Lytechinus pictus: one gene and its partner. The protein of the gene in region 2 purifies or fractionates together with the protein of the main gene of each other region. This does not show direct contact. Links are inferred from orthologs where the notes say so. Each region holds a gene or a part of one and is shown on either strand. Other genes may lie near its edges.

The links. The genes of interacting proteins can lie anywhere in the genome.
Region 1: the proteins of probable ATP-dependent RNA helicase DDX27 (region 2) and pescadillo-like purify together in Homo sapiens (affinity purification with mass spectrometry; 4 studies listed by BioGRID and IntAct, counting the BioPlex papers as one, with this or other methods). This does not show direct contact. The link is inferred for Lytechinus pictus from reciprocal best matches to the Homo sapiens genes DDX27 and PES1.

Annotation. Positions count from the first base shown.
Region 1 is NC_087246.1:20,639,062-20,650,436, reverse strand, and holds the start of pescadillo-like, read right to left. Parts: upstream 4,220-11,375; coding exon 4,208-4,219; intron 3,855-4,207; coding exon 3,775-3,854; intron 2,569-3,774; coding exon 2,415-2,568; intron 1,406-2,414; coding exon 1,296-1,405; intron 886-1,295; coding exon 714-885; intron 371-713; coding exon 281-370; intron 1-280. UniProt on the Homo sapiens protein: Component of the PeBoW complex, which is required for maturation of 28S and 5.8S ribosomal RNAs and formation of the 60S ribosome.
Region 2 is NC_087246.1:68,126,767-68,137,603, reverse strand, and holds the start of probable ATP-dependent RNA helicase DDX27, read right to left. Parts: upstream 5,472-10,837; 5' UTR 5,425-5,471; coding exon 5,281-5,424; intron 2,367-5,280; coding exon 2,172-2,366; intron 1-2,171. Other genes in the region: monomeric sarcosine oxidase-like, read left to right, coding at 8,309-8,402, 10,272-10,341. UniProt on the Homo sapiens protein: Probable ATP-dependent RNA helicase. Component of the nucleolar ribosomal RNA (rRNA) processing machinery that regulates 3' end formation of ribosomal 47S rRNA.

The DNA.
Region 1 (11,375 bases), about 47 Mb from region 2:
GTTGTGGGGGTTTTTCATCATGCTCTACTAAATTATGGTATGAAAAGCGCTGAAATGCAAAAAGTAAAAATTGATGACGTCATACTTTGGTACTCTATTATACTTTCCCCGCAATCCCTGTCCTCTCCTTTTCACTTGAAAAGAATAAGGGGGTTGCGCCCCTGCCTCCTGCCCTGAAGCCTATGGCAGACCCTCTCACATTTCATAACAATATTTGCCTAAAGGATCTTTGAACACAGGTTTCACTGTACAAAACACCATAGCAAGAAGAAATACCAACCGAATATCCAAAGTTATACGGAATGAGCCATGTTAATAGCTGTCCCTCAATCTCCACCTGGAAGTAGATCCCTTTGATGGACAGGAAAACCTACATGGAATGAACAACACATCAAGATATAACAGATTTTGCAAATTTTATACTTGCCATCTATTCAAGTTAGCGATTATACCTATTGGCTTAATATAAGTTAACAGGTAAGTTCATACTTGACTTTTACATTTGACTGGTAACCTGTTTCTATGCCACATGTCATACCCAAATTGGTTTTCTGTCAGCACTAAGTGCATGAATCCTACTAGATACCCACTTACTACACCTGGGTCATGTGAGGCAAATACAGATTAATACTGGTAAATCAATTTCTAGAGATTTCTACTGATCCACAAAAACTCTAATTGTTTTTGTCAGAGACTTTATTCATGAATCTCACCTTTTTGAGTGACCTTGATGCGATGACATAGTTCATGAACTCTACGACAAGTCGTCTGCAGAGGGGGAGAACTTCGCTCTTCACTTTGGCATTCTTACGAAATGTACTGAACAATGAGCACAAGGTCAAAGGGTCTTCAAGGTCACGGAGAGCATCAACAAACGTTGGGTATCTGTCAAACACAAAGATCAAGAAAAATATTCTAATCCAATGATTCCAGTCCAAACTTCCTTAAAATACAACATTTAAACTCTTTGGGATAGCTGATGGTTCAGAATGGGACACTAATAATATTCAACAACGTAAATAATACTGAATGAATCATACAAGAGTGAAGTATTGGCCCTCAAAAGTTGAATATTTGTATGAGGAAAAGTCATCCAATACTATCATTCGTATCTTTAATGATTATTTTTCATTAGGCCATTAACATAAAATAGATTAAACCCCAAGATTTTAGTTCATATTCACATCTTCAATCTATATTGTTTGTATAAATTTCATTTGCAAATGTCATTGTAATTATTTTCGACCACTTTACTTTGTTCTGTCAAAAATGAAAAATTGAAATGAATTGAATACCTCTCTTTAACAATGTGATCGAGCTTATACTTGGGTTCATTGCGATTAAGTCTGTCCAATGATGTCCATTCTCGCTTGGCCTTAGCTTTCCTCACTTTCCTTACAAAAACCTGAAAACCCAGAAAGAAAAGAGTAAAAGAAAAAAAAATTGAAAGATTAAGATTAAAATCTGGATTCTAATGAATACTTGTACATATACATCAAGGGTCAGACAAACAGTGCACATCATATGGTAAATAAACTAAGAGTTATCACAATAAAAAGAAGATAAAATAAAAGAACTCCCCAATATATTAATTTGAAAGGAAAATCTATATATTCAATGTGAACTTTCGGGTTATTTTCACTTCATTAAGGAAGATTATGATGGTAAAAATGTCAAGTCCTGCAGATGTCCTGATATTCAAAATATGTTTGGGCAGAACATTTGTGTGTAGTCCCATCCAGCCATTACTAAGTGTGGGTCATGTGAATCAGCAAAAATAGTTAATCGATACATATTTCAATGATTTCAAAATCATACAATGTCCCACTCATTAATATTTTGGGACATTATAATCAGTATTTCCTAATCACTTTTAAACAGTTTTCTCTGAAATTGGACCTTCAACACTAAACAGGCCCTTTTTTGTCTTCAAATACAAGCATTCGTTCACCTAGACACCAATACCAATTTAACAATCTCTTTCCACATTCTTTTCATGCTGACACTCATACTATTTTGTGATAAATTTGTATTATACATCTTTCACATCTTGATTTTTTATCCTCTCTGAACTTGACAGGCAAAGATAAAATAAAATACCCAAAGAACGAAAAAACAAATGTTTTTCATCAGGCCTTAAATACTACACGGGTGTAGCATCAAAAACACAAGCAGTCGTGACGTGAAATTAGCTCCTGAACAATTCATGTTTGAACTTCTCTGAAGGTACAGGATAAGGGACATGCTTGAATTTTCTGTTCAGGATTATTTTCAGGAGGCAGAACAAGGTGTTTGGGGCAAAATTGTGATAAAATTATCAGAAATAATATCACCCTTTTTTCCCCTTAAAAATAAGATTGAAAATCATCATTCTGTGAATATCAATCAATACATTCTTTGAAAAGCATACATACCCTATGATCCCTGAACTTTTGAACGATGGGTTCATGAGCCAAAAATTGGATGTCTTTGAATCTGAAATAGGTTCTGTGAAGTTTCTGCCCCTTTCCGGCCTTCTTGATACTCTTTGGTTCAACCGGATACACCCCTTTCAGAATACACAGCCTCCTGTAAAGAAAGACAGAAAGATAAAGATATATAGCAAAAGAAAAAATAACAAAAAAAAATATTCAATGGAAATATTCATTAACCATTCCCTAAAGGACAAGTCTACCCCAACAAAAAGTTGATTTGAATAAAAAGAGAAAAATCCAACAAGCATAACACTGAAAATATCATCAAAATCGGATGTACATGTACAATAATAAAGTTATGACATTTTAAAGTTTCGCTTAATTTCACAAAACAGTTATATGCACGACCTGGTCGGTATGCAAATGAGGAGACTGATGACATCATCCACTCACTATTTCTTTTGTATTTCATTCCATGAAATATTCTAATTTTCTCTTCATTGTCAAGGGAAACAACAATTCCTCCCTGAACATGTGGAATGAGCATTGTCTAATAATATATGGTTCAGTCAAGGTGGTCCTATTTGTCAAATATGTAAAAAATTAAATATTGTATAATTCAAACAATAAAAAACAAAAGAAATGGTGAGTAATAGACATCATCGTGCATTGTGCATATCTGTTTTGTGAAAAATAAGCGAAACTTCAAAATGCAATAACTTTTTTATTACTTTTTTATTTCACATCCGATTTTGATGAAATTTTCAGCGTTGTTTGTTTGATTTTTCTCTATTAATTCAAATCAACATTTTCTGGGGTGGACTTGACCTTTAATTATACAAGGATGTAGACTGGTCAAATTATGTTAATGTCAAAGGAGCCCCCCCCCCCTCCTCCACCAACAATGAATTAGTCCTATGATAATTTTCAAAAGAGGTATGCCCTGGCTGACGCAACATTTCAGTCTTCAAAATGAAATTTTGCCTGATTAGTCAGCTTAAAAAAGACTTTCTTTACAGGGGCCTTTCTTCTTTCATGTATTGTATTCACTGTATATGTACCTAACAATGTGTTTGGTTCTCTTGTTACTTCCAAGTGATATTCTTAACAATCATATTTGGGGGGGGGGGCAATGGCTGATAGCCCTCATGTTTGTTTATTTGATTTTTTTTTCAGTTCTGGATTTGCAGATATTCCAGTTTCAAATGTGGCTATCCAAGATGGATCAAACATCATCATTTACTTTATTCAGATTAAAACATTTTTTTTAGTTACATATTATCTTGGCTATTTTTTAAGTAAAAAAAAAAAAAAAATCAAATTTAAGTGACATAAAAAAGTCAAATTACTTGACTCTCACCTGAAATTGACAAGATTTAACTGGAGTCTCTTCACAGCTGATGCTCTTGTTATGAAGCTAGTTGCTATACCACTCTTGAACTGTAAAGATTAAAATACATGGTGTGAAAAACATTTTGATCCTAGATTTGACAAATAAGCATCATTCTGTTTTTCACATTGATGTATTGCATATAGCATTCAATGTACGCTTTGCTTATTACATGACACCATCCAGCCATGATCGCAAGCTATTATTAACCTATGAATGAAATTATAGTAAACATGTGCATCACAAAAAGACACAAGTTCAACTTCAAAGTCAATGGCAATGCCGTTATCACTGCACTGTTGATAGGTCCTACTTAGATTTGATTCAACACCTTTCGTAGGGATCCCAAAACGAAAATCTAATTTTTTTAATCTATGTTTAAAAGCATTGAAAAGTACCTCACCTGAATCAGCATATTAAAAAACCCCAAGTGAATGACTTTTAGTGTTACAAAGAGATCTAATTATCTGTTAATCTGAGGCTAAAGTGGGTCCGAATTGTGACAGATTTGTGTACAAATTTCATTTTGAAATTTCGTCGACACGTATTCTCAGAGCTCGGCACTGAACGAGGGATTGTGGGCGTGTCCTTTCTCGCCTCGGCGTATTGTTACCCAAATACACAACTCGAACGAAAGTGCGTTCACCGTCCCAGTTAGTCTCGGATCCGAGCTTATCCAAATAAACAATGATTAAATAACAACCAAAAATAGAAAGAAGAGAAAAGAGAAAATAAATGGCTCAAATGCAGTCGTTTGGTGACGGATACTGTATGCTCTGACCTCTTGCTGATTTAAGGATTAGATATGACATAAGTTTTATGCCATGATAACTAAAGCATGGGGGGGGCAGGGGCACTCTGACTTTCAAAATAATTAATTCTTTAAACATCTATATCTAGGCAAGGGAGGGTCCAGGATTTTCCAAAGGAGAGGGGGCACTATTAGCGGCGGCAGTCAAAAAATTAAGGGGGGGGGGCACCAACATTTTTGACAAAAAAAGGGGGGGGGGACCGAAAAAAAAAAATTAGCCAAAAAAAACCCAACAACGTCCCCCATAGGCAGCGGGGGGGGGGGGGGGGGGGGGTCGTGTCCCCCCTAAATTTGAGGTGGGGGGACAATCGCCCCCCCCTAATTTTTTTTGTTGATAACCTTTTGTTTATTTGCTTGTAATTTTTTTTTCCTGCCTGCCCCCTAAATTCCAGTGGACCCCCCTAAAAATTTCATGTGGTCTCCCCTAAAATTTGGGTTGATAAACTTTTTTTTTTTTTGGGGGGGGCTTTTCACAAAATTTTGGTGGTCCCCCCCCCCCCCCTAAATTTTTGCTTTACGTTGCCAATGGTCCCCACCTCAAATTAAGGGGGACAGGGCCTATGGAGGCACATTTTCCCGATGCAAATTTGATAAGCATTACAAAATGTTTTTAAAAAAAATTCAAAATTTCGTCCCTAAAAATTGACAAGCAAAAAAATTGGGCCTATATATATCCTCACTTTCAAGGGGCATGCTTGGGTAAAAAGGGCATGTTTATGTTACAAATTACAAATTTGGCTCTCGATAATTATGCCCCTTGGATCCACCAGTAATCTAAGTGGAATTTTTTGTTTTTAGTTTTGATATGGCTACCTTCTCGGAGGGCGTCCTCGCCGCGGTAGCTGGATAGTGCTGCAAAAGAGTAGGCCTTATACATCTTTTGCAGCATTAACTGACACTCCGAGACTTATAATTTTACCTTATACTTAAAAAATGAATAATACAAAATAAAACATAACACTTGTTTTTGGAGTAAGTTGATGTCAAAATATATTCAGTCTGGGGCATGAAGACTTGGAACTCTGCCCCATATCATTGTACTTGCCTCGCTCGATTTGTATCATAAAAAAAAATTAAAAATGTTTCCACATTAAAATATACATCTAAGTACAATGGCCAGAAATAATAGTACGAATAAGCTAGCAGAATTTGTATCATACCACCCATATTATTGAACGCCAACGAAGGCAGTTTCTAAATCCTGTTTGCTTTATCCCACTTTTCCACTAAGATTTATCCCTTTTGCGTGTCATATGAAAGCAGTTTTGTGCGCAGATCTAGCTTACCGGTAGGACCACATGCAGTCATTAATAGCTCTCTTTAATTTTTTTTCAACAAATGATGTCTCATGCTTTCGTTAAAATTAATAAATTAGAATCCTTGTATATGGCCCTGGGAAGTGGGGTGCTCGGGTTGTGACCCCCAAGTTTTTTTTTGTTTTTTTTAGCTAGTGGTGCGTTTTTTGTACACGTATATAGTTTAAAACAGGAAGAAGAATGACATTGATTTTTGTACCGCATTATTTTCATTAATTTATTGGTAGAAATACCAAAAAAAAGTTTTGAAAAAACATTTTTCAAAACTATTCCGCGGCTCCTGGAAGAATGGAGAAATGGACGGAAGGAGAGAAATAAATAGGATGAAGGGGTGGATCCAGCTTTCGCCAAAGGGGGGGGGGGGGGCAAATTTTTTTTCACCATTATTTTTCCCCAATCGGCCGCGCGAATATGATTTATATTTGTTTCTTTGAAGAAATGTCACTTCTTAGCTTTTGTCTTATAAATCAACATAAATATATAATATCATAACCCTTTTTATATAGTGCGAGCTAATTTATAAAAAAAAAATATGTTTTTCCCCAAAGTTTGAAATTTCTGGGCAATGTTTATCATGAAAAAGACGTGTATGCAACTAAATAATTACTAAGAACGCGAAGTGCGAACAGAATTGAAATCATAGGCACTTTTTGTAACTTAAACAGGATAGGTATATAACTTAGCAATTGATGCGAAGCGCGAGCACAAAATTGGAAGATTTAGACCTAAAAACGAGACATGTCTAGTCATGTCTTTTAAATCATCATGGAAAGGATGTTAAATTGCCGATCTTTGTTACTTTAATAATGCTCGCGCAAATTAGCGAGCATAAGATTTTTGTATACGTTTTGAACTGATCAAAAAGGTACCTGTTAAGGACTGCTTATTTCACTTAGCCATGGAGACGTTACATATTTCAACAATAAAATAATGCAAGCGCAAGCCGATTTTTTTTTTACACTTCTACATAAAGAATGGAAAATTTTAATCAATTATTGTGACCATGAACAGGATCGTCGTTATAAAACAATTAATGCGAGCGCGAAGCGCGAGCGGAAAAAAAATCGACATTTAAATTTTAGACCTAAAAAATGGGACACTCTATTCCTGTTTTGTATAATAAGGATGAGTAATAGGGGTTCTTCCTACATAAAAAATGCGAGCACAAAGCGCTAGCAGAATTTTGTATTTCAGAAACTGGATAATGGTTGAAATACTAACAAGTTGAGTATCTAGATAGACATGCGAATCAGGGTACTAATGGATAATTCGTTTTTCATTCCTGATTTTCGTAGAGCAAAAACGGAAGTCAACCTCATGGATTGGTCTTTGAAAACACAAAAACGAAATCACAACGAGAAAAACCCCGTTGTGATTTCATTTTTGGAGATCAAAAACAGAAGAATGAAATCAGAAATACTTTTGGTCCTCTCTGATACCTCATTCTATACCTGTGTTTGTTATATATTAAAAACAAAATCAGAACACGCTTTCTACCCCCTGATTCTGTTTGGAAAAACGCAGACAGCGAAAACGAAATCGGGTAGTTCGCTTTCCACTTCCTGCTCTCTGATTTCGTCTTTCGCACAGCCAACAGCCAACACACGTGCACGCAGTGCAGTGCATGCATGATAAGACCACGTGCAACAAAAATTCACTTTAACATGGCTTTTTCCAGCGTTTTCGGACCTTCGCAGACAGTGGCGTAGCTAGGATTTTTTCCCGGGGGGGGGGACTGGGGGTCCTTGCTTTTTCAGGGGGGGGGGGGGCACCGGCTATTTTTTGCGGTGTGTGTGTAATAAAGTAATTTTTCAAGAGGCCCCCATGCAGGGATATCCCGACGGCCTAGCCAGGGTAACCACGTACCCTAACTTGTAGAACTCGACTCGGGCAATAGATAAACACTGACTTAATTGACCCGGCGCATGCACATTTAGGGGGCTCAAATTAACAAAATTAAAGGGAATAAAGGGCTATTTATCGCATTTTTAAAATTAAAATAAGTATTTTTCAAGGGGCACCCAGGGATATCCCGACGGCCTAGCCTGGGTAACCACGTACCCTAACTTGTAGAACTCGACTCGGGCAACCAGATAAACACTGACTTGACCCGGCGCATGTACATTTAGGGGGCTCAAATTAACAAAATTAAAGGGAATAAAGGGCTATTTATCGCATTTTAAAAATTAAAATAAAGTATTTTTCAAGGGGCCCCCAGTGATATCCCGACGGCCTAGCCAGGGTAACCACGTACCCTAACTTGTAGAACTCGACTCGGGCAACCAGATAAACACTGACTTGACCCGGCGCATGTACATTTAGGGGGCTCAAATTAACAAAATTAAAGGGAATAAAGGGCTATTTATCGCATTTTTTTAAATTAAAATAAAGTAATTTTTCAAGGGGCCCCCAGGGATATCCCGACGGCCTAGCCAGGGTAACCACGTATCCTAACTTGTAGAACTCGACTCGGGCAACCAGGTAAACACTAGCTTGACCAGGTGCATGCACATTTAGGGGGCTCAAATTAACAAAAGTAAAGGGAATAAAGGGATATTTATCGCATTTTTAAAATTAAAAGTATTTTTTCAAGGGGCCCCCAGGGATATCCCGACGGCCTAGCCAGGGTAACCACGTACCCTAACTTGGAGAACTCGACTCGGGCAACCAGATAAACACTAGCTTGACCCGGCGCATGCACATTTAGGGGGCAACTGGTTAAAGCATCTCATGAGCAGATCTTATTCATATATTATACTCAGTCCTAAATCCTCCGCCAATAAAATAGCTCCGAAAGCTGAGTGACACCTGTATTTTTCTTTTATTTGCACAAAATATGTTCAATGGTTGCCCATTCTCTGTTTCTAGAATCAGTCTAATCATTATACATATTCTTTTTTGTAATCAACTTACAAATTAAAAAAATGAGAATGGGTTGGGTCGAATTAATATCTTCAGCCTTCTGTTGTAGATCGTCATCTCTTGGAGAAAAGATGGGGGCGTATATCGATAGAAAACGTATTGTCAAAATATAAAATATGAGTATAAAGCTCCTCTAATCTTCGAATAATTCTCATGAGACATTTTCTTTTGCACGTGTAGCCTTCAATTCAATTAATTAGCAACTTAATATAATATGTGATGTATGTATCCGCGATTTGATTTAAAAAAAATGGCCATCTGCAATGTTTAAAAATATCACGAGGTTCTGGGGGCTCCGCCCCAGACCAGTGGCGCCACCGAATGGGGAGGCCCCAGTGAGTTGCCCCCCCCCCCCCCGAAATTTGAAGAAACAAAATGTATAGTAAACGTTGTCATAATACTCCAAAAATGTTTTTTGTTCTTTAAATTTTAAAAATATTCTCATCCATTCACCGTTAGCATTTAGATCCCAACAATTTTGGTCACTAACATAAATCTTTCAGGCCATTATATAAAATTCAAAATGTAGCTCGCGATACGCGCTCGCAGTTATTAATGATTATCTGTTCACATGGGGCTTAAAAATCAAATGTTATTAGAGTTTTCATTATTTGTTTTAGCGAGATACATATCCTGCGTATTCATAATTTCCATAGAGGATTTATTTTCAGCGATTTAGATAGCCATTCATTTTATAATTTAAAAAAAAGCTTAGAACGGCCAGGTATCATCCCGGATATCAAAAATTTTCAGCTCACGCTTCGCGCTCGCATTATTCATTTGGTGAGATATCATCTTCATGACCCAATTAATGCAAACAGCTGATTCTTAACAGTTCCCTTTTTAAATCAGTAGGGACTGTATTTGCAATAAAATTAGCTCGCGCTTTTTTTTAAAATGTGTGCCATCCCCCCGGCCCCAAAATGTTTGTTTGCCTCCTCCTAGGTTAAAAACCCTAGTACCGTCATTGCCCCGGACCCGAACCGCATAGCACTGCCCCCCCCCCCCCAAAAAAAAAAAAAAAAAAAAAAAAAAAAGTTCTACAACCGAGAAAAAAAAATGATAAAAGGAAAGAAAGAAAAGGAAGAGGAAATATATGTCATTTTCTGCATACCATGTCAAAATCAATCTCAAAATTGAAGGTGATTTTTATTCTTGCTCGCTTCGCTCGCTGGAGACTTATTATTAAGCAAATTTTTGCTGCGTGCACCATGGTGTGCCCCCTCTGTTTTGTTCTTATCTCGCATTGAGCTTCGCACTAATGCTCGGGGCATAATCATAAAATATCCTGTTCATACAATGATATGACCCCTCCGTTCTCCCTTCTCTTTCTCTCCCTTTCCCCCTCCTTTTCTTTCCTATCTCTCCCTTTCGCTTCTCTCTCTTCTATTTTGTCTTCTCTCTTTCCTTGTTGTTTTTTACTCTACCCATCGGCAGCACTAAGGGATGGGGGGAAAAGTCAGGACCGTGGTTCCCCATGCTTGAAAAAGCCCGTATTCCTTTACTTTTGTTAATTTTAGCCCCCAAAAGGTGCATGCAACCAGTGGCGTAACAGGCGGGGGGGCAAGCTGCCCCCCTTCCCCCTGGCGGAGTTCACCGTGAAAATGTTAAGAGAAAAAACGGGAAAAGGAAAAAAATAAGGGGAGAAAGAAAGAAAGGGAAAGGAAAAGGAAAGGAAAAAAGATGAAAGGGGGAAAAGGGAGGGGAATAGAAAAGGGTAAGGGAAAATAAAACTAAGAAAAAAAAGGGAAAACGGAAAGAATTTGGAAAAAGGAAGGAAAGAAGAACATGTGAGGAAGAACAATTTTCCCAGATATACACATACATTAGCATGATTAGTAAGACAGGGAAATGAATTAAAGATGACAAAAAGGCAAACAAAAGCGGGAAATTAAGGTAGAATGGAATGAGGCAAAATCTAAATTGGAAAATAAAAAAAGGGACAAGATATTATTACCGGGCTGCTGAGGATTGAAGATAACGAGCGGGAAAAAAAGATGGATGGTATATAGCATAATTTCGTATGAAAGTCTATTATAAACTTGCTAAATTTTCATATTCGGCTACCGTATATTTACGTCAACACTTCCTCAATTTTCTCTTCAGATTTACCCTTTTGCATTACTAGTCATGAAAGAATCATCTTAACTGGACAGATCGATTCGAATCCTGGAGGTATATTCTGTTTAACTGATATTTTTAAGGTGGATAATAATTGAAACTGGTGAGATTTTTTGACACTTCGTGAATTGGATAACTTGGGGAATAAATTACAGTCCCACACATTCATTTTTTTGTTATACCGCCTTAACCGGTATTTCTGTGGTTCAACCGTACCCAGTGCCAGTGGCAGTGCGAGAGTGTGTACTGGATTAAACTTTAGGTGTGACTATTGTGAATTGATTCGACTTGCAAATTACACTGCTGGATGGTAACTATTTTTCTTCTGATCTCTTGTCTTAATCAACATCAATTCTCCATCTCCATAAAATATGCCGAAAAGTGACACTGTTACACAACTA
Region 2 (10,837 bases):
TTGGCAACTTTTAGAAAAAATCAAACTTTGAGGGCGCCCTACAAGAAATTGACACGCATGGTAGGGCCAATTTTTTGTAGGTCTGTTGAGCAAGTCATAGTCTTCAAATATGCATAATATTGGGTTCTAAGCTAATTGAATTTGGAAGTTATGAGCCTCCAAACATGCACCCAAAAACATTGACTTGGACGCTTAACACCATGTTCGGCGACCTTGTGCGCAATAACGGCTGGTCAGATCCACGTCTAATTATATTGTGTGTGTTAAGACTATAAAGTTCTTCCAATTTACAGAAAATTAGAACACTGCGTCATCAAACTTGGCTCCAGCAGTCAATCAAAAATAGCTAATTTTATTTAAACTTTATTGTTTGACCAGACATTGGTTGCTAAGGGAGGCCATAACTTAGCAACCGTTTGACCTTGGGGCAAAATATTTCATTTTTTTCCGTCAGACACTTGGGGGAACATTTGGTGCGAGTTTAAAGAAAATCGAAGGGGGTTGGGTGACAAATTGTCTAAAAATTGGTTGATTTGACGTGGATTGACCCACATTAATACTAGTTCATATTCTTTATCATAAAATAAATTTCATATGTTCATCTTGGATTTATGCAGGTCTGGTACATTTTGTTTTCTTCTCACAAAAAATGAGATTTGGCCTTCTCAGTGTGCCGTAGCGGTACTATTAAGCATTGTATTCTATATAAAATTATCATGTAGTCTAATAATACCTGCCAATAATATCTACATATTTTTCTTAAGAATGTTAGTAAAGGTACTTTGCTGTTTCATAATTACATTCATTCATTCATATTTCTTTCATTTTGAAACTAAGAAGTGCTGATGAAGTTCACTTCGTAAGGGTGTCATGTCCGTTACGCTAAGTATATTGTCAAATAGTAAGCCATGAATAAAAAATAATCTTTACTATCAACTTTTTATCTTTTAGTTTGGTGCGGCGGATGGTAGAAACTGGAAAATACTCATTAACTATTGTTAATTGGTGTAAAATAAATTTTTCTAAATATTTGTTTGTTTTATAAATATTGTACGAAAAGCCCCTCTCTCAAATTGCAAAATAATAGGAGATATTACAGATTACCAGTTATGATGTGTGTCTCTAACCTCTAGCCTTAACATGTAAACAATTAGACTTGTACCAGATCTTGTAATTTAATAATTATATTCGCTTACAAAAAGTGGACGAAACTGTCATGTCCGTTACGCTTCGTGTGTCATGTCCGTTACGCTACATTTTGAGCTATGAATACAGAATGCACTGCAAAACTGTTGTTAAACACCATTTTATGGATAGAGCATGATCTTAAGGTTAAATTAACACCAACATCAGGTGCATGCAATCTAAGAATTCACAGGAATTTTGATAAGCAATAGGAGGTAAAAATGCTTCGTCCATTTCGTGTCATGTCCGTTACGCTCACAAAGAGTGCAATTTCTCTGCAACTGTTCAACGAAACGATTTGAAATTTCATGTGTATGTAACTGATACTTAAATGTGTCTGATAAGCTCAGTAACAATTATCAAAAGACTGCTAATTCTACTGTATTTACCTTTGAATTACAAAAATTTGTCTGAACGTCATGTCCGTTACGCTGGAATTGACCACATCCCACAATACAAACACTGAGATTGTTTTTATCTATTAATGGATGAAAATTTTCTGATTAAAGTACTACATAGCAATTGTATCTGTTCTTATTTTTTCATATATTTTGCCACTACAAGGCCAAAAATACACGAGTCATGTGCCTACCAGAGAAACGCATCTTATTCCAGCCTGCCATGATTCCTGAAAACATGTAATTTACTATGAAGGTTTTCAACCCCGCCCCCTAAAAAATAAACATTCAAAAGATATTTTTCTATTAAGATAGAAGACCAAACATTGATATTATAAATGAATTGATATCATACATACATGAACATGCAAAATAAAAAAAATCATGATATTCATTTTAATATACAAATAAACATCAAATTTAAAGAATTTCAACAGGATGTACTTATGGGGATTTCCAAATACATTTTACCTTTCTCTTATCTTTGCTATTCTCTGCTCAAAAGATGAAATGCACTTTTGGAGGCTTTCCAAATACATTTACATGTACCTTCATGACTACACTATTGAAAGCAGAAAATGAAATTACCTTTTTTCTGTCTCTTCTTATCTTTGCTATTTTCTGTTCTAAAGATGTTGAAACCCTCTGAGATGATGCGTGAGAGACGAGGTCAGCTGACCACGGGTCATCATCATCTGATAATGAATTAGTGAACTCAAAATCCTGAGAAAAATCCACAGCTTTCTTCTTCTGTTTACCAGTCACCTTCTTTGGTTGGGCAGCCTTTAATGAGGAAAATATATTCAAAGGTATTGCTTGATTGTAAAACTTGAAGACAAGACTTTCAGAAAGCATTAACGTAACCAAACTCAGTTTTAAATAGCCAGGAGTTTGAAGAGTAAAACTTACATTGTATGCGGTATTGAGAGGTTACACTCCAAGATGCCTAGCTCTTGTTTTTATAAATTCTATGTTGCAGGGATAACTACCCACAAACATAAGGTCTAGATTCTAGAAAACATTTCATATGATCAAAGTTTCATACAATCAATCAAACATAATGCGATGACCAATTGCAGTAGAGGCCCCGACTGAAAATGAGATGTGGATTGTCCTTGTTTACTGGGAATGTCTTTGTTTTTCATTTCTCCACAAAGGAAATCTAGAGGAAAGTTAATTCGCCCATTAGGCAACGACACATAGAGGACATTAAATTAGAGCGCTAGTTCGTGTTTCATAACAAGATCTTTAAGGCAGACAGCAAGTCATAACAGACAGTGCACTGGACCTGGAGTGAATTCAGGTCACAGAATCTAATTTTAGCATTCTTACTTCTCGTAATTGCTATCTATGTCCCACAGGGGGAAGTGAAAAAAAAATGCCCATCAACAAGGACAATCTCAATTCATCAAGACATGATTTGTCTTAGTTTATGTAAGATGTCCTTCATGTCCTTGGCCTTGTTTTCTGGAACAATCCTTTCCTTTAGTAGAGTAAAAAACCCAAAAATTGGACGGTTCCAAATATCGGACGCGGGGGACTTGCATGCATGAAATAGACCTACTATTGAACTGCACACACAGTAGATCCAGGTTGCTGCTCAAAAAAAATATTCCAGTGGTAAAATCCATGATTTTGACTTCCAAAGTTACTAATGACCCTTGCTAATTATGGACTCCAAAAGATCGATGACCAAAAAAATCTCGTAAGGGGGAAGTGATTTCTGCTGGAAATATCGCTGCCAAGATCGCACATGTTCGATCTATCGCAAGAAAATCTGCAATTGCCGCTGCGGGGGTTCCCCACAGCGGTAAATTTGACACCCTTCCAAATATGGCACTCTCCCAAGCATCGGACATATCGGCCGATTGAATTGGAAATGCGTGCTGTTGACACATGCGCTCGTTTTCAGAACGAAGTCACGCGCAGTTGAGCGAAGATGTCCGACGTTTAGAGCCGAAAGAGGTCCGACGTTTAGAGCCGAAAGAGGTCCGACGTTTAGAGCCGAAAGAGGTCCATTTGGTAAGTAATTAATTATTATTTACCGATTTCTAAATCAAAATTATTGATAGTAATAATTGAAATTGGCATTTGCGCAGTTGATTTAAGTTATTTTTTTAACAATCAAGCAATTATTTTGGGGTATCGCCGAAATTGATTGCGGCGCACAACTTTACATGCCCGATATTTGGAAACTGCGTCCTATATTTGGCAAAAGACAAGCTTCTGGTATTAAGTATATAATTTCCGTTTACCATATTTTTTCAATTCTATTTTTTTTATGACATTAATATTCAACATTTGTAATGCAGAAATACACATGATTTTTATTTGATTCATTGATTGGATTTTTGTTTTGGTCCAATTATGCTTAAAGGTCAAGTCCACCCCAGAAAATTGTTGATTTGAATCGGTAGAGAAAAATCAAACAAACATAACGCTGCAAATGTCATCGAAATTGGATGTAAAATAAGAAAGTTATGACATTTTTAAGTTTCGCTTATTTTTCACAAAACAGTTAAATGCAGAACTCAGCAATATGCAAATGAGCGAGTCGATGATGTCCATCACTCACTATTTCTTTTGTTTTTTATTGTTTGAATAATACAATATTTCAATTTTTACAGATTTGACAATAAGGACCAACTAAACTTAACCATAAACTGTTAAAATAATGGTAAGTCCACATGTTCAGGGCGAAATAAAACTTTGTTTCACTTGACAAGGAGGAGAAATGAGAATATTTCATATTTCATATAATAAAATACAAAAGAAATAGTGAGTGGGTGACGTCATCAGTCTGCCAATTTGCATACCGACCAGGATGTGCATATAACTTTTTTGTGAAATTAAGCGAAACTTTAAAATGTCATAACTTTCTTATTTTACATCCGATTTTGATGAAATTTTCAGTGTTTTGCTTGTTGGATTTTTCTCCTTTTTTCAAATCAACTTTTTGTTGGGGTGGACTTGTCCTTTAAGTGTCTGATATTTGGGCACTTTACTCTACTTTCTAACTCTTACTCTTAGCTCGGTGACTCTTTTTACTGTCCTGATTTGGAATTGATCATTCCTAGAAAATCAGAAATCAAGGATTCTTCCGCCGTCATATACTGCATCATGTACTAAGTAGCAACATCGACAGCAACGCACTGAAAAGTTAGCCAACGCGCACATAATTCTACAAATTTTTTGTGCACACCTGCAATGCCCCTGGCGCCATTCCACTTTTCTAAATAAATCTTAAAAAAGTTAGCGCTCGCATGCATGCTCATTTTTACAGATCCCAACCATGCCAACATATTAGACTAAACTTAAAGTTAGTCTACTCTAGACTCTAGTCTAGTACATTTTTATAAATTAATATAACTTTATTATAACAAGGTAAAAATTTTGATCCAATATATTATAAGTGGATTTTGTACGATGGTGCTTGAAGTTGAGAGTCCTACTACTCTGGAAGCCTTTTCAACCTTAATGAGGTCCCAATGCCTAGATCTGATCTAAAGTGACTGGGTCTGGAGTCATGGAGATGGAGAAGAACTTCGTCTCCGATCTTCGGCACCTCACCCAGCTCACGTGAATATCGGTGCATGGGACCGAAGACGAGTAAATGATTGACGTAGAATCGCAAATTACAAATTTACACCTATTTATAAATACAAGACAAAAATATTTCCATAAAAAAAGACTCTACCTCTTCATCACTACTACTTTCTTCAGAGTCAATAGACACGTTGTCATCTTCTCCAATAGTGCCGATTAGACCAAATGGGAAGTCCATTGCTCCCTGTTGATGACGATACATACACGTACCGGTAACGCTGAATGATGCATGCATACATGTACACGTGGTTTTCTGAGCATTGCAGCCTTCCCATGCCTTGTGTACCTGAAGGCCCTCTCGCTCAGCAAGTTTTGTATGTGCTAATGACTAGTCTTTGCATGGAGACACACTTGTTGATCAAAGTTTTAATCAGGGTCTGTGCCTGCAGACTAGGCCGTCAAGGCCGATTGCACGAAAGGGTATTTGCAATATTACCGTTTCATTTCAGGGGGGGGGGGGGGGGGCTGAGCCAAAAGTGGGGGGCTGACCATGCAGAAAATCACAATCGTATGGTCATTTTTGCGTTTTTGCACACGGTTTTGGAAAAAAATGGGGGGGGGGCTGAAGCCCCCCCAGCCCCCCCCCCGGTTCCGCGGCCCCTGTATTTCGTGTCGCCCATTTATCATGATGCGCCATGTGAACCACAATGTTAATGAATTACCTGGAAACATATTTTATTCGTCCGTTAAAGTTAATAAACAAAGTTTCTTTCTACCTTCATGATAAAATGATATCTCATGACTTTTATTGAATGAAAATCGATTTAAAAGCAAGTTAACGAATTTTATTTGTTTATCACAAATTAAAAAAATATCCCACACATACAGCTAGCGCATCATAAATGATAGGCGACACAAAAAACGGTCCATACTGAACCTCACGTAAATTATGCTAATTCTGAAAGTTCACTCTTTTGTTAAACCCCATTGGAATGCCTTATTGGAAACTCCTAGCTTTTCGAGAATATCGTCATAGACCTAGCTGATAGTGGAATCGGAAACTGAGCTTGATCAGATTCTCTTGAATCCTGAAACATTACTGTCTGACTGGGAAGATTAATGATTTGTTTAAGAAACCTGCCAAAATTTGTCAGCTGTTTTGAAAAATAGCCAGAATAAAATAATACTGTTACTATATGTTATTCTTACAATCGTCATCGTATAGTTGGTTCAATCGGTTGAATATCGTAATTGCCAGGAATCTATAGGAGAAGGTTTACCGCCCTTGAATCATCAGTACAATCGATGATTCAAGATTCTCGTGTGAAAAGGTCCCAAATCATATGCTAGCGGCTAGATTTTCCATCCTTTCACACGATAAAAAAAATCGAATCTGATGATTCCAGTACAAAATAAGGCTAATGACGAATATTTGGCACGTGTGAAAGCAAAATAAAACATGATTAGAATTACGAACGCTAAGGCACAGTCAAGATCACGATTCAAGATTCACGTGTGAAAAGGCCCTAGGTAATACTCATAAGTAGCAGCTATTTAATAACACATGCATGCTATGATGAAAGATATACTGCACACTGGGTAAAAGTGACAGCTTTGGTGATTAATTTATGCTGTCTTTGAATGCAGCTTCCCGGGGGGGGGGGGGCGGGGGGCACTTCCATTGACGAGTGGATACCATGAGCGACCATGGGGTCTCGAAAAGCACCCTAAACAAGTATTTTCCATATTCTGAAAGTGTGAAACCATACCCTTAAAGGGATGGTCCGGGCTGAAAATATGTATATCTAAATAAAAAGAGTAAAATTCACAAAGCAAAATGCTGAAAATTTCATTAAAATCGGATAACAAATAACAAAGTTATTGAATTTTTAAAATTTTGCTATATTTTGTGAAAAACAGTTATACGCATATCGTCATGAATATTCATTAGGTGGGCTGATGATGACACTTCCCCACTTTCCTTTTTCTGATGTTATTACATGAAATCATAAATGTTTCCTTTTTTTATACATGTGTAAATGATGTGTCTCCATTATGATGAAATAAGTTGCGGCAATAAATAACTAATGCACTTAATCAGTTTTCAATTGACGAGTGGATACCATGCGCGACCATGGGGTCTCGAAAAGCACCCTAAACAAGTATTTTCCATATTCTGAAAGTGTGAAACCATACCCTTAAAGGGATGGTCCGGGCTGAAAATATTTATATCTAAATAAAAAGAGTAAAATTCACAGAGCAAAATGCTGAAAATTTCATTAAAATCGGATAACAAATAACAAAGTTATTGAATTTTTAAAATTTTGCTATATTTTGTGAAAAACAGTTATACGCATATCGTCATGAATATTCATTAGGTGGGCTGATGATGACACTTCCCCACTTTCCTTTTTCTGATGTTATTACATGAAATCATAAATGTTTCCTTTTTTTATACATGTGTAAATGATGTGTCTCCATTATGATGAAATAAGTTGCGGCAATAAATAACTAATGCACTTAATCAGTTTTCAATCCAATTGTTTTAGTTCTTGGTAGAACAATTTTGAATAAACCTAATTTTATATAACAAAATACAAAAGAACAAGTGGAGATATGACATCATCAACCAACCTAATGAATATTCATAAAGACATGCCTAGAACTGTTTCACCAGAATAATGCAAATCTTAAAAATTCAATAACTTTGTTATTTGTTATCCAATTTTGATCAAATTTTCAGCATTTTGCTCTGTGAATTTTACTCTATTTATTGAGATATAAATATTTCCAGCCTGGACCATCCCTTTAAGCAAATGACTACATTTCTGTGATTATCTTGTATTGGGGAGGGTGACGGACCGAGATTCGGAGCCCACCAGAGACCTGACACAAAATGACATCAGGCAAACAATCAATCACAGGGGCTGCAGAACGATTTTCAAAGTGCCCCCCCCCCCCGCTTCTGCGGCCCCTGAATAATTGTCTTGCTCAAATATAACCTTAGTAAACCTTCACCTTGGCTTTATTTTCCTTGTCAACAATGATTATAGAGTTCGCCCAGCCTTTTCCTTTTTAGCTATCCGGTTAATTTAAACATATACTTTGGCCTAACGTTATGAGCTATATCTTCACAGGTAAGAGCCAGAATCCAAACAGACTCAGTCTAGCTTTCCAACATGTCAAATGTTCGGGAGTTTGATTATATCGTCGTGGGGTGTGGCGGGATCGGGAGCGCCACCGCCTACTGGTTGTCAAAGAGAGCGGGAAAAAGTGAGTATTATCTTAGCAATAATAGCGACAGTACAAAAAATATGGATTCCATTATTTACTGAATGATGCATGTGTCGTGTATGCGGTTTTGAAGTAGCTCAAATCGAACGTATTAAAGGTCAAGTCTACCCCAGAAAAATGTGGATTTGAATAAATAGAGATAAATCAAACTAGTATAACGCTGAAAATTTCATCAAAATCGGATGTAAAATAAGAAAGTTATGGCATTTTGAAGTTTCGCTTATATTTCACAAAACAGTGATATGCATAACTCAGTGACATGCAAATGAGTCAGTCGATGATGTCCATCACTCACTTTTTCTTTTGTTTTTTATTGTTTGAATTATACAAAATTTCATTTTTTTACATATTTGACAATAAAGACCAATTTTACTAAACCATATAGTATTAAACAATGCTCATTCTACATGTTCAGGGAGGAATTAAACCATTGTTTCTCTTGACAATGAGGAGAAAAATAGAATATTTCATAACTCATATAATAAAACACAAAAGAAATAGTGAGTGGATGACATCATAACTCTCCTCATTTGTATACCGACCAGGATGTGCATATAACTCTTTTGTAAAATTAAGCAAAAGTTTAAAATGACATAACTTTCTTAATTTACATCCGATTTTGATGAAATTTTCAGTGTTAAGATTGTTGGATTTTCTTTTTTTATTCAAATAAACTTTTGTTGGGGTGGACTTGTCCTTTAAGGATGCTTCCGGTTTGGGAAGAAAAAAAACATTCAATGGATTGCGCAATGAATCGGGTGTTGCTATGTCAGTCAGTGTACATATCAACCCCTCTCACTCGTCCTCGTTAGAAATGAACACTGAGCATTCACATTCCAGGCCAGGGGCGTATAAGCTTAAGGGTTGGGCAAAAGAAGCAAGGAAATTGGACTATGAATGATATTATCTCACATTTCAATTATTTCGAATATACCCTCATCCCAAGAAAAAGAAAGTAAAATAAATGTTATCATGGGGAACGAGCTTGTAATTTATTTTGTAATTGACACAAGTCATATCTAATTGTCTAACACTCTAAGGCTATATACGTTTACAATCAATTTTTCATGTAGGCCGAAGTTCCTTCTTATGTGCAGTACTATTTGTACACATTATGTACTTTAGCAGTTGCTATAGTGCAGTTAGCTGTTTATTTTATCTGTTGTACAAACAATGCAATGCACCACAGGATATTCTGTTGGGGGCAAAGGGTTTCCCCATTTTTTCTCAATAAAAAAAAATGAAATCCAGTCTTGTCTTTTGAATAATATTGTAAACATTTCGTTTTCTTTCTTTCTTTTCTTCCTTTCACAACCCCAACCTTCGGTGGGTCATTGGATCCATGCAATGGGTGACATTGAGGTTGGATCACAGGATTCTTGATCACATTTTACACAAAATCTACATTTGATTTGAAACCATGGCTGGTTGGATATAATAACTGATGAAGATGGAAGCAACGATCAGAGGCGGATGCAGGGGGCGGGCACATCCGGCCTTCCCCGTTTTGACAGCCATACAAAAATATTTTTAGTGTCTACCCTTGACATAAATCACCATCGTTTAGGCGTAAACAACTTTATGTTTATTTTTTTGTGTTTTTGCTTGTCAATTCTTTTTCGAATAAAAATATCCCATTTAGAAAAATCCTGGATCCGCCCCTTGTGATCATAAATGGTTGAAAGCCCGGCAAAAAAAAGACAATAACTACTAACTGGCACTTTTTTGTAAAAGTGTTGAAATGAGCCCTTGTCTGCAATGCTTTATTTTGGTATCTCACATGTTAAAATTAATAACTCATTTTTTTATCAATGTCAGCTTAAACTGCTTTATATATATATATATCAGGAGTGCTTGGACTTGAGCAATTCAAATTGGGGCATGACAATGGAGGATCACAAGATAACTCGAGGATTATGTAAGTTATTAATCATATTAGGTTATGCATGCATGCTTATTTAATCTTTATTCCTTTCCTACAGTGCGATGGGTCTATGGATTAGTCTCCGGACTTTGAAGCACATAGTCCGGGGTTCAAATCTCACCACGGTATTTGCATCTTTTGGTGGGATATAAATTTGTATTAGTACATTTCAAGCTCTCTACACTAGTATAATTCATTGAATACTTGGCGCTCGATCAGAGTATACAGCCTAACAAGGTCAAGTGTGCATCGCTTAAGCCCCTTTCACAATTGACGTACGACCATTTGCGACCTTTTGGTCGTGCGACAGGCTGCAACAGGCATCAATCGCTAGTCATCTCATAAGATCGCACAGAGGCTTTCACAGTTGCAACAACTGTCGTACAACAAAAACAACCAGTAAACCCCGTTGCACGAGTAAGTCGCATATGCTCTTATTGTGCTCGTGCGATCACATGCGAGTGTTGCACGAGGGATTGCGAGTGGAACG